Linked DNA regions of Xenopus tropicalis. The protein of the gene in region 1 purifies or fractionates together with the protein of each later gene. This does not show direct contact. Links are inferred from orthologs where the notes say so. Each region holds a gene or a part of one and is shown on either strand. Other genes may lie near its edges.

Region 1 (4,463 bases):
CTATTCTCCTTTAGCAGACTTTTGGTTCCATTTAGAGAGGCTGTTGGCAACATCTTGTTTATTAGCAATGTGTTATCTTGGAGAAGTCTACAAAAACAGTAGCTCCTACTGTAACTGATGGTTTACTGTTTACTTTTTCCTCCCATTTTAAACCAGGCTGGATGCTCTAGATCCTAATGCATATGATGCATTTAAAGCTTCGCGCAATCTAGGGGATGTAGTAGAACGTGTTTTGCGCAACGAGCAGCAGGCTCCAGGAATGAAACGAACTCTTAGTGTCCAGGCTTCATTAATGACCCCAGTTCAGCCTATGCTGGTAAATAGACTTAAGATTATCTTTTACATGTGTTATGTGTGTATAATTAAGACAGATTCCTCCAGTGTTTTAACACAAACAGTCGCACAGTCTTCACATATTATAAAATAACATTCCACCTTCATGTAAGTGCAAATGTTAATTTGGAAAAAAAAAAAAACACTTACCAGGTCACAATTTTAGAATGGATGCAAGAAGAGTTACCCTGTGTGAAGGGAAATTGGATCCCTCTGTATATACATATGCAGTTGGGTTGCTACTTTGTCTGATTTGTGTTTTGTAGTATAGTATTTTTCCCCCTACATTGATACATACTTTAATTCACATTCTGGTAATCTCTCCTCACCCCCAGGCTGAAGCTTGCAAATCTATAGAGTATGCCATGAAAAAGTGTCCCAATGGTATGTATGCTGAAATAAAGTATGATGGTGAAAGAGTCCAAGTACATAAGAATGGAGATCACTTCAGCTACTTCAGCCGCAGTCTGAAGCCAGTGCTGCCCCATAAGGTCATTTTTTTTATAATGTACTATTTGTATCATTTGTGTTTAGCAACCTTATTTGTTGTGTTTAGATACATGGTTACAACTTTTTTTTTTTTTTTACAGGTTGCTCATTTTAAGGATTTTATACCTAAAGCATTTCCAGGAGGAAACAGTATGATCCTGGATGCAGAAGTTCTTCTTATAGATACCAATACTGGCAAGCCACTTCCATTTGGCACATTAGGTGTTCATAAGGTATATATGATTTTTAATGTCTAATGTCTTTAAGGAACCAGTTGATCTAGACTAGAGTATAAACACTTCAGATTTTTTGCACTGGGTTCTGATTATAACCTGGCATTTCTAAGGCTTTGCAGCTGCAGGAATATAGATACATTTTCTTTGTGTTCCTATTTTACCTGGAATAATATATTTTAATTTAATTTCCTTCACAGAAAGCTGCTTTCAAAGATGCCAATGTGTGCTTGTTTGTTTTCGATTGCATTTACTTCAATGGAGTGAGCTTAATGGATCGGTGAGCATATTCAGATCAAGACTGTATTTTATAAAATGAAAGATGTTTCTTTGAGCTGCTTACCAATAACCACTTTTTGCAGGCCACTTAGTGAGCGCCGAAAGTTTATGCGGGATAACATGGTTGAAATCCCTAATCACATTCTGTTCTCTGAGATGAAACATGTCACAGTAAGTACTGTCACAGGCATAAAACCTTGCTCAAATCCTTGATCAAACTGTAATTCATTCCTGGTTGTACCTGCAACCTATTCCACATCTGCTCGTCCTTTAGTATTTTTTGTTATTGTAACTAAAACCTGTTTATATTGCAGAAAGCTTCTGATCTGGCTGACATGATCACCCGTGTTATCCGTGAGGGATTGGAGGGTCTGGTATTAAAGGACTTAAAGGTAATTTAAGTTAGATAAAGAGCATCTTCCTAATTGCATCTATATGAGATTCCGCAGTCAATTTTTTCTTGTTCACACCAGAGTAATTATGAGCCAGGGAAACGTCATTGGCTTAAAGTAAAGAAGGATTACTTGAATGAAGGTGCAATGGCAGACACCGCTGACTTGGCAGTTTTGGGAGCTTATTATGGAAAGGGAGCAAATGGTAAATGTAGCTGCCCTTATTTTTTCAAAAGTAAATTTTATCTATTATAAATAACTTTTTGGCTATATTCAGCACAGTACTTTAAGGAGAAATAATTCAAGGTTTTTATTTAATTATTAAACATTTTATAGGGGGTATAATGTCCATCTTTCTCATGGGTTGCTATGATCCTGAAAGTCAGAAGTGGTGCACTGTGACAAAATGTTCAAGTGGTTATGATGATGCTACTCTGCAACGCCTTCAGAAGGAGCTTAACATGGTCAAAATCAGCAAGGTTAGTCTTGTCTTGTGGATGATTGCATTGCGAGTCTGATTTAATTTTCCCTGCTTCGGGTTTTTTTTTTCCTTCTTAAGCCTTATACTCTGTAATGAAAAGGTGGGAATAAAAGGGCATTGATGACTGTGTTGTATGGCACCATTATGACCCTGAAAATAAATCAGGACTGTATGGTATAAGCTTTATTCATTGTGTATGGGTAATAAGCACACTTTTTTTCTGCCTGCAGTTAGATGGTGCCTCTATACAAGGCACATTATCTACACTAGGTGCTACTACAACCCCCAATTTTATTGAATGGCCTAAGTTATATATTTTTTTTTTAGTTTGCCATTTACTCTCTTATACTCTCAGTATGCAGTATATTATTATTATTATATATATTATACTGTCCTGTTTTGGAGCCCTTGCTTCCTGTTGATAATATCTGGGATAGAACTAGATCTGTGATAAACATTGCAACCAATGACTTCTAATTCAAACTATTGATAAAATGGTATATGACCCGTCAAAGAAAACAAAAAATAGACTTAACTTCCTCTCTCTGTTGTAGTATATGCTCATATACTGACTCTTTGATACATAACTGGTGGTTTTGTCCCATAGCTAAAGAATTCTGGATAAAAATTATTAATCTTTTAAAACGGATCTTAATTTACAATACAATATTTCAAATTCACCTCTTCATCAAATTTTTAAATTAGCCATTAAAGGCTTAAACAAGGCAGGTAATATTCTCTAAAGACATGTTTTTTTCTGTGACCAAATGGACTTTTGGCCTCACTTTGGCTTAGGGATAGCCTTGAGTTTAAGCTTGGTTTAACCAAAATCCAAAAGATTCACTATGTAAAAGATGACTGGATCTGTAGAGGACACTATAGCTACATTTATGGATTCTATATTCTGAGCGCTTATGGTAATTCAGCATTTTTGTTGTTGTTGCCCCATAAAGGATTCTTTTAGTTTCTTCTTTTCCCTAATATGTTTTTAATGTGATGCACTATGCATATGGAAATATGAAAAATGTATTTAGTATTTTTCATTTATCTTTATATCTATATTTTTAAAAGCATAACTTATGTGGAAAACGTATATACAATGTAAAACCATGTACATGATGTGATGCCTTCCTTTCTTTTGTTAACAGGATCCATCTAAGATTCCATCATGGCTTAAAATCAACAAGAACTATTTCCCAGATTTCATTATACATGATCCCAAGGTAGTATTTGCAAGGGGTAAAATAATTAAACAGCTTTGTAGCTGAATATTCTGTTGCAATTTTAAATTTCACCTTTAAGTTATCTTTTACTGTGTTGTACTTTTGAAACTTTTTAATTAGCCTTCATTTTTTTTATTGTTTTTGAATGATTTTCTGCCTGCTGCCTCTTTCCAGCTTTTCAGTGTCTGTTCAATGAAAGTTAATTTAAAGGTGAACTACTGCCTAAATGGTTTTGTGGTAATTGTGACAATGTCAGTTTGGTAGCTCGGTGAGCCATTAAATGTATTCACTCACTATGCTTAAACATTCTGTGGAGATGAGATGGCAAGTAGGTGTCCTAATATTTGACCAGTCTGCCCACTGCAGAGTCCTATCTAATTATATCATGAATTAATTGTGTGCAGCAAACTAGCTCATATGCATCTTTTAGCCTTATGAATGTCTATTTTTAACCTGGAAAGCAAACTTATTGATACCTACTATGTATAGCAGCTGTAATTTTTCATAGGTTCTCCTGCAAATCAGCATTCTTTAATATATTCGTGCATGAGACAAGATACTAAACTCATTCCTGATTTTTCACCATAGAAAGCTCCCATTTGGGAAATTACAGGTGCAGAGTACTCAAAGGCAGAGGCTCATACAGCTGCTGGGTTATCCATTCGCTTCCCACGCTGCACACGTTTCCGTGATGATAAGGACTGGAAAACAGCCACTACACTCCAACAGCTAAAGGTACGAATGCGTGGCAACCTTTTTGCTATTCCAAAGCACTGAACGCCATCAGCTGGACACGACAATTCTGGTGCACAAAAGATTGCAATGCCCTCATTATTAGCAAACTGTAGTTATTAAAATAATATGTAATAATGGAGTTCTATAAATGTGCTTTACTTCACCCTGAGTTAGTTGGCTATGTTCACTGCTGACCCTGGTTTATGGCCTGGCATATATTAAAGTGCATTTGTATACAATGTGTCTTTTTTTTTTTTTTTTTTTTTTTTTTTTTTCAACTGCAGGAACTTTATCGTCT
Region 2 (5,003 bases), on another chromosome or scaffold:
TTTTGGTAAGGTGAGTCAAAGGGGCAGATTTGATATATTTGTAGCTCGTGTTCCAGCATATAGTACAGGTATAGGACCCATTATCCAGAATGCTCGGGACCAAGGGTATTCCGCATAAGGGGTCTTTCCGTAATTTGGATCTCTGTGCCTTAAGTCTACTAAAAAAAATCAATAAAACATGAATTAAACCCAATAGGATTGTTTTGCATCCAGTAAGGATTAATTATATCTTAGTTGGAATCAATTACAAGGTTCTGTTTTATTTCTACATAGAAAAAGGAAATCAGTTTTAAAATTCTGAATTATTTGATTAAAATGGAGTCTATGGGAGACGGGCATTCCGTAATTCGGAGCTTTCTGGATAACGGGTTTCCGGATAAGGGGTCCGATACCTGTAGCAAGAGAACAAAACAGAGATCTTAAAGGCATGGTTCACCTTTAAAGAGATACTGACACCAGAAATTAAACCTTATTTACATCTACCGTAACACTGTCTTTGCATGCTATTTATAATTTTTCTTAAAGGCATTTATGCCATCCCACCGGCAATTTACATTTTCACCGACCGGAGGGATGGCATTTTGGGGAGATTAGTCGAGGGCGACTAGTCTCCCCGTGTGACACAGCCCTAAACCAGTATTGATTTCTGAGGTTACCATTTTATTGTTATTGTTTCTTTGTATTACTTATCTTTCTCTTCAGTCCCTCTCCAGTCTCACAAACCACTGCCTGGTTGCTAAGGTAAACAAGGCTCTAGCAACCAGACAGCTGCTGAAATTCCAAACTGGAGAGCCGAGGAACAAAAAATAACTGAAAAACCACAAAAAAAATAAAAACCAACTGCAAACTGTCTTAAAATATCATTGTCTATGTCATATTAAAAGAAAATTTAAAGGTAAACAACATCTTTAAATTTGACTCAAAATTCCCTGAATTTCTTGCTTAATTGTTTTAGCAGAAATAAAGAATTGTGTACAGGGGATGGTTGTAAATCGTACATTCTCTGAATGAAGTAGGGTTCTCCACAGGGTTCTGTATTGGGTCCTTTTTTATTTATTCATTAATAACTTGGGGTGGGTATTGAAAGAAATTTATCAGTGTTTGCAAATGACTAGGGATGCACTGAATCCTGGATTCCGTTCAGGATTCTGGCCGAATATAGCCTTTTTTTTTTTTTTTGAAGGATTCAGTTTTGGCAGAATCCACAGTCCCGGCCGAACCGAATTAGCATAAATTCATATATGCTAATTAGCATTCGGAAGGGTTAAATGGTAGGGGGAAGATTTTGAGCTATATTAAAAAGGGGTATAGATTTGCATGATACTCTCCCTCTTTTTAAAGGGGACCTGTCACCCTAAGAAATAATTACAAATTGTTTTCTATTGTGTTTGTCAAGCAAAATAAACTTCAATTACACTATATACATTTTTTGAAACCTATTTCCTTCAGCCTTGGAATTCACCATTGCAGAAAACAGGCAAGCTCCATTTTGTGGACACTGTTATTAAAGCAAGCTGTGCATCCTGCCAAAATCTTGTTTCTGTGCCAGTATGGGGGGACCCGATACCCATGTACATGCACTGGTTACAAAATTAGATGGTGAGGAGGGAGGGGGAATGTGAGGAGAGCAGCAACATCTAAGAAGTTCTGAATTGAAAGTGAAATTAACTGTCTGCCCCACCTCTATGCCTTAGGCATAGAGGCGGTCAGGAAATATTTAATTGACAGCTGGGACTTGCTTGTATAATGGGTATAGATGTGTTAATAAAAAAATGACTTTGGGTTACATGTTTAATTTGAAAGGGGCTTTTATTATACAGCTTTTTATGTCTGTGTGACATGTCCACTTTAAGGCACCAGTAGGGCCTTAAAGGAACAGTAACTCCAAAAAATGAAAGAGCTTTAAAGTAATAAAAATATAATGCACTGTTGCCCTGCATTGGTAAAAGTTGTGTGTTTGCTACAGTAACACTACTATAATTTATATAATAAGCTGCTGTGTAGCCACGGGGGCAGCCATTCAAGCTGGGAGAAAAAGCACAGGTTACATAGCAGATAACAGATAAGTTCTGTAGAGTACAATAGTGTTTTATCTGTTATCTGCTATGTGCCTGTGCCTTTTCTCCTTTGAATGGCTGCCTCCATAGCTGCATAGCAGCTTATTTATATAAATTATAGTAGACTTTCTGAAGTAAACACACAACTTTTACCAGTGCAGGGCAGCAGCACATTATATTTTAGTTACTTTTATACACTTTCATTTTTTGGTGTTACTGTTCCTTTAAATATGCAGCAGTTTTGGTCTCTAGAGCCTTATTGATAGAGTTCAAAGAAGAGGGAACAAGCTGATAAAGGGAATAGAAAGGCTGATGAAATGCTATGATAACCATGTATGAATGCACCTTACAATAAACTTTTTAAAGGGAGCAAGAACCACAGAACCATTGTTGACAACCAACATACAAGGCTGGCTGCTTGTACTCATGTCCTGCAAGCCCTATTAACCGTAAATTATGCCCACCAATTTCCACTTGGTTTTCTCCTTGTAGTCCTGCTCATATGATAAGCTTAAAGCATGGGTATTCGGCATGTAATAAATGTACTTGTTTGTAATGAAAAATTGCCTTTGACCCATGTTTTCTGATTACAATATTGGACCCTGGGCAACTTGGAATTGTCTATTGCAGTCACAAAGAAGCAGCATCCCTTCTGATGAGATGACAACTTCGCTCTTTAAACGGCATGGCTATATGTTGTAAAGTTATCACGTTTCTGTGAAGCCTTGCAGCTATTCGGTAGGGAAGCTGTCCCTTAAGACAATTCCAAAGACGCAAATTTGTATAAATATATGTATGTACAATCTTACCTAGCGTGGGTACACACGAAACATCAACAGCTATACACTACAAGGCGGAGCCTGCATATACTATGACCTACGGAATACAAGTGGACGCAAATCTCTGTCGGCCATTAATATGACAGACACGTATTTTAAAAGGCTGATAAAACACCACGTATGTGAGTGTAAAAAAAATCATTAGGCGTTTTTCGTGGTGTTTAACCATACCAATTCTTAGAATTCACGTGGTCGTCAATCAATTCAACTGATTTCAGTGCCACGTAGCGGTTGGAACGCAAGGCGTGCTGCAGTGAACCGCATCAGGCACGATTGGCAGCACGTTCCCGCCCTCACTAACGCGCAGTTGGATTGGAGCCTGAGTATTTGCCGGTTCCGGACTCTAGGCGTCATCGTGGTCTCACCACCCCCTTCTCTTTCCTTTTACATAAGATTCCCGGATGTGACTCTTGTTCCCTCGATCCTTCTAGAAGCTGTTAGACGGAGAAGACCGCTAGCCACCTTGAATATACAGTGCATTATCGTGGGTATGAAGGCATTAATACATTTATTTATTGTTGATTTTGTTGTTTTTTTTATCCCAGCTAAATGGAACACGTGCCGTGTTTTCTGTCTCAAACGTAGTCGTTGCTTTTATATGAGCGAGTTTTGGATGTAAGCGGTTATTGACTATATTTTTTGCAGGTTAGAATTGAACTCTAACGTTTTTCCCTAATGAATAGTACGCCTGGCTATGATTTTTTTAAATTCCTTTGGGTTATGATATCACATTTGTCGGTCCGAGGTTATGTGGGTTCGTCTTTGGTCGGCGAGGAGGTACTGAGCTAGGTGCCTGATGTTGGCTATTCTCTTGTCACGTGACTTGGCAGTGTTGGTCATTTGACTGGGGTCAGTGTTTCATTGCTCTTTTCTCCTGATTGAAGGCTCCCTGGGGCTCAGTTTTGGATCAATACCGGGTTTTAGTGTTTCTAGGCAATGAATGCCTGAAAAGTGACCCACCTCTAATTGTGTTGCTAAGAGAATTGCATAAGTGTATCCACACATGAAATACATCATAATGCATAGGTTTTAGCGGTACAAAACCCATGGCATCCTTCAGAAGTCTGACCACTTTGTGAGAATTAACTATTTCTATGCACGTTGTCCCAAAGTGTATTACCAGGATTTCTGTAGTTTAACAGTAGTGCTGGTGTCATATTTTGTTGGTTTATTTTTTTCTTTTATTTATGATTATGATTATTTAACTTATGATTATTTATGATGATCAATGCAATTCAACTTCCTACATGTTGCAGAGAGACTGTTACCTATTCCACATATTCATTATACAATTTACACATTTACTTAAAGGAACAGTAATGCCAAAAAATGTTAGCCTTTTAAAGTAATTAAAATGTACTGTTGCCTTGCACTGGTAAAACTGGCATGTTTGCTACAGATTTCCTACTATAGTTTATATAAATAAGCTGCTGTGTAGCCATGGGGGCAGCCATTCAGATTGGGGGGAAAAAGGCACAGGGTACTTAGCAGATAACAAATAATGCTCCATTATATTTTACAGAGCTTATCGGTTATCTGCTATGTAACCTGTGCCTTTTCTTCTTTGAATGGCTGCCCCCATGGCTACACAGCAGCTTTGTTTATATAAACTAGAGTAGCCTTTCATTTTTTGATGTTACTGTTACTTTAATGTAAAGCAGCTTGGCAGACACAGACAAGGGGTCATTAAAGGAACAGTAACACCAAAAAATGAAAGTGTATAAAAGTAATTACAATATAATGTACTGTTGCCCTGCATTGGTACAACTGGTGTGTTTGCCTCAGAAAGACTACTATAATTTATATAAGTAAGCTGCTGTGTAGCCATGGGGGCAGCCATTCAAAGGAGAAAAGGCACAGGTTACTTAGCAGATAACAGATAAACCCTCATTATATGGGGCTTATCAACTAGTTATCTGCTATGTAACCTGTGCCTTTTTTCCAGCTTGAATGGCTGCCCCCATGGCTACACAGCAGCTTATTTATAAAGTAGCTTTTCTGTAGCAAAAACACAATTTTTTTTTGCAGAGCAACAGCACATTATATTTTGATTACTTTAAAACATAATAATTTTTTGATGTTACTGTTCCTTTAAGATACCACAGAT

What was found. Proteins that work in one complex are often made in the same cells at the same time.
Region 2: the proteins of lig3 (region 1) and aptx purify together in Homo sapiens (affinity purification with mass spectrometry; 3 studies listed by BioGRID and IntAct, with this or other methods). This does not show direct contact. The link is inferred for Xenopus tropicalis from reciprocal best matches to the Homo sapiens genes LIG3 and APTX.

The regions. Positions count from the first base shown.
Region 1 is NC_030686.2:27,249,018-27,253,480, reverse strand, and holds part of lig3 (DNA ligase 3), read left to right. Parts: intron 1-156; coding exon 157-316; intron 317-668; coding exon 669-824; intron 825-923; coding exon 924-1,055; intron 1,056-1,255; coding exon 1,256-1,335; intron 1,336-1,417; coding exon 1,418-1,505; intron 1,506-1,648; coding exon 1,649-1,726; intron 1,727-1,807; coding exon 1,808-1,931; intron 1,932-2,062; coding exon 2,063-2,205; intron 2,206-3,355; coding exon 3,356-3,430; intron 3,431-4,018; coding exon 4,019-4,165; intron 4,166-4,449; coding exon 4,450-4,463. UniProt on the Homo sapiens protein: Isoform 3 functions as a heterodimer with DNA-repair protein XRCC1 in the nucleus and can correct defective DNA strand-break repair and sister chromatid exchange following treatment with ionizing radiation and alkylating agents.
Region 2 is NC_030677.2:94,453,029-94,458,031, reverse strand, and holds the start of aptx (aprataxin), read right to left. Parts: upstream 3,143-5,003; 5' UTR 3,068-3,142; intron 3,059-3,067; exon of another isoform or gene 2,867-3,058; intron 1-2,866. UniProt on the Homo sapiens protein: DNA-binding protein involved in single-strand DNA break repair, double-strand DNA break repair and base excision repair.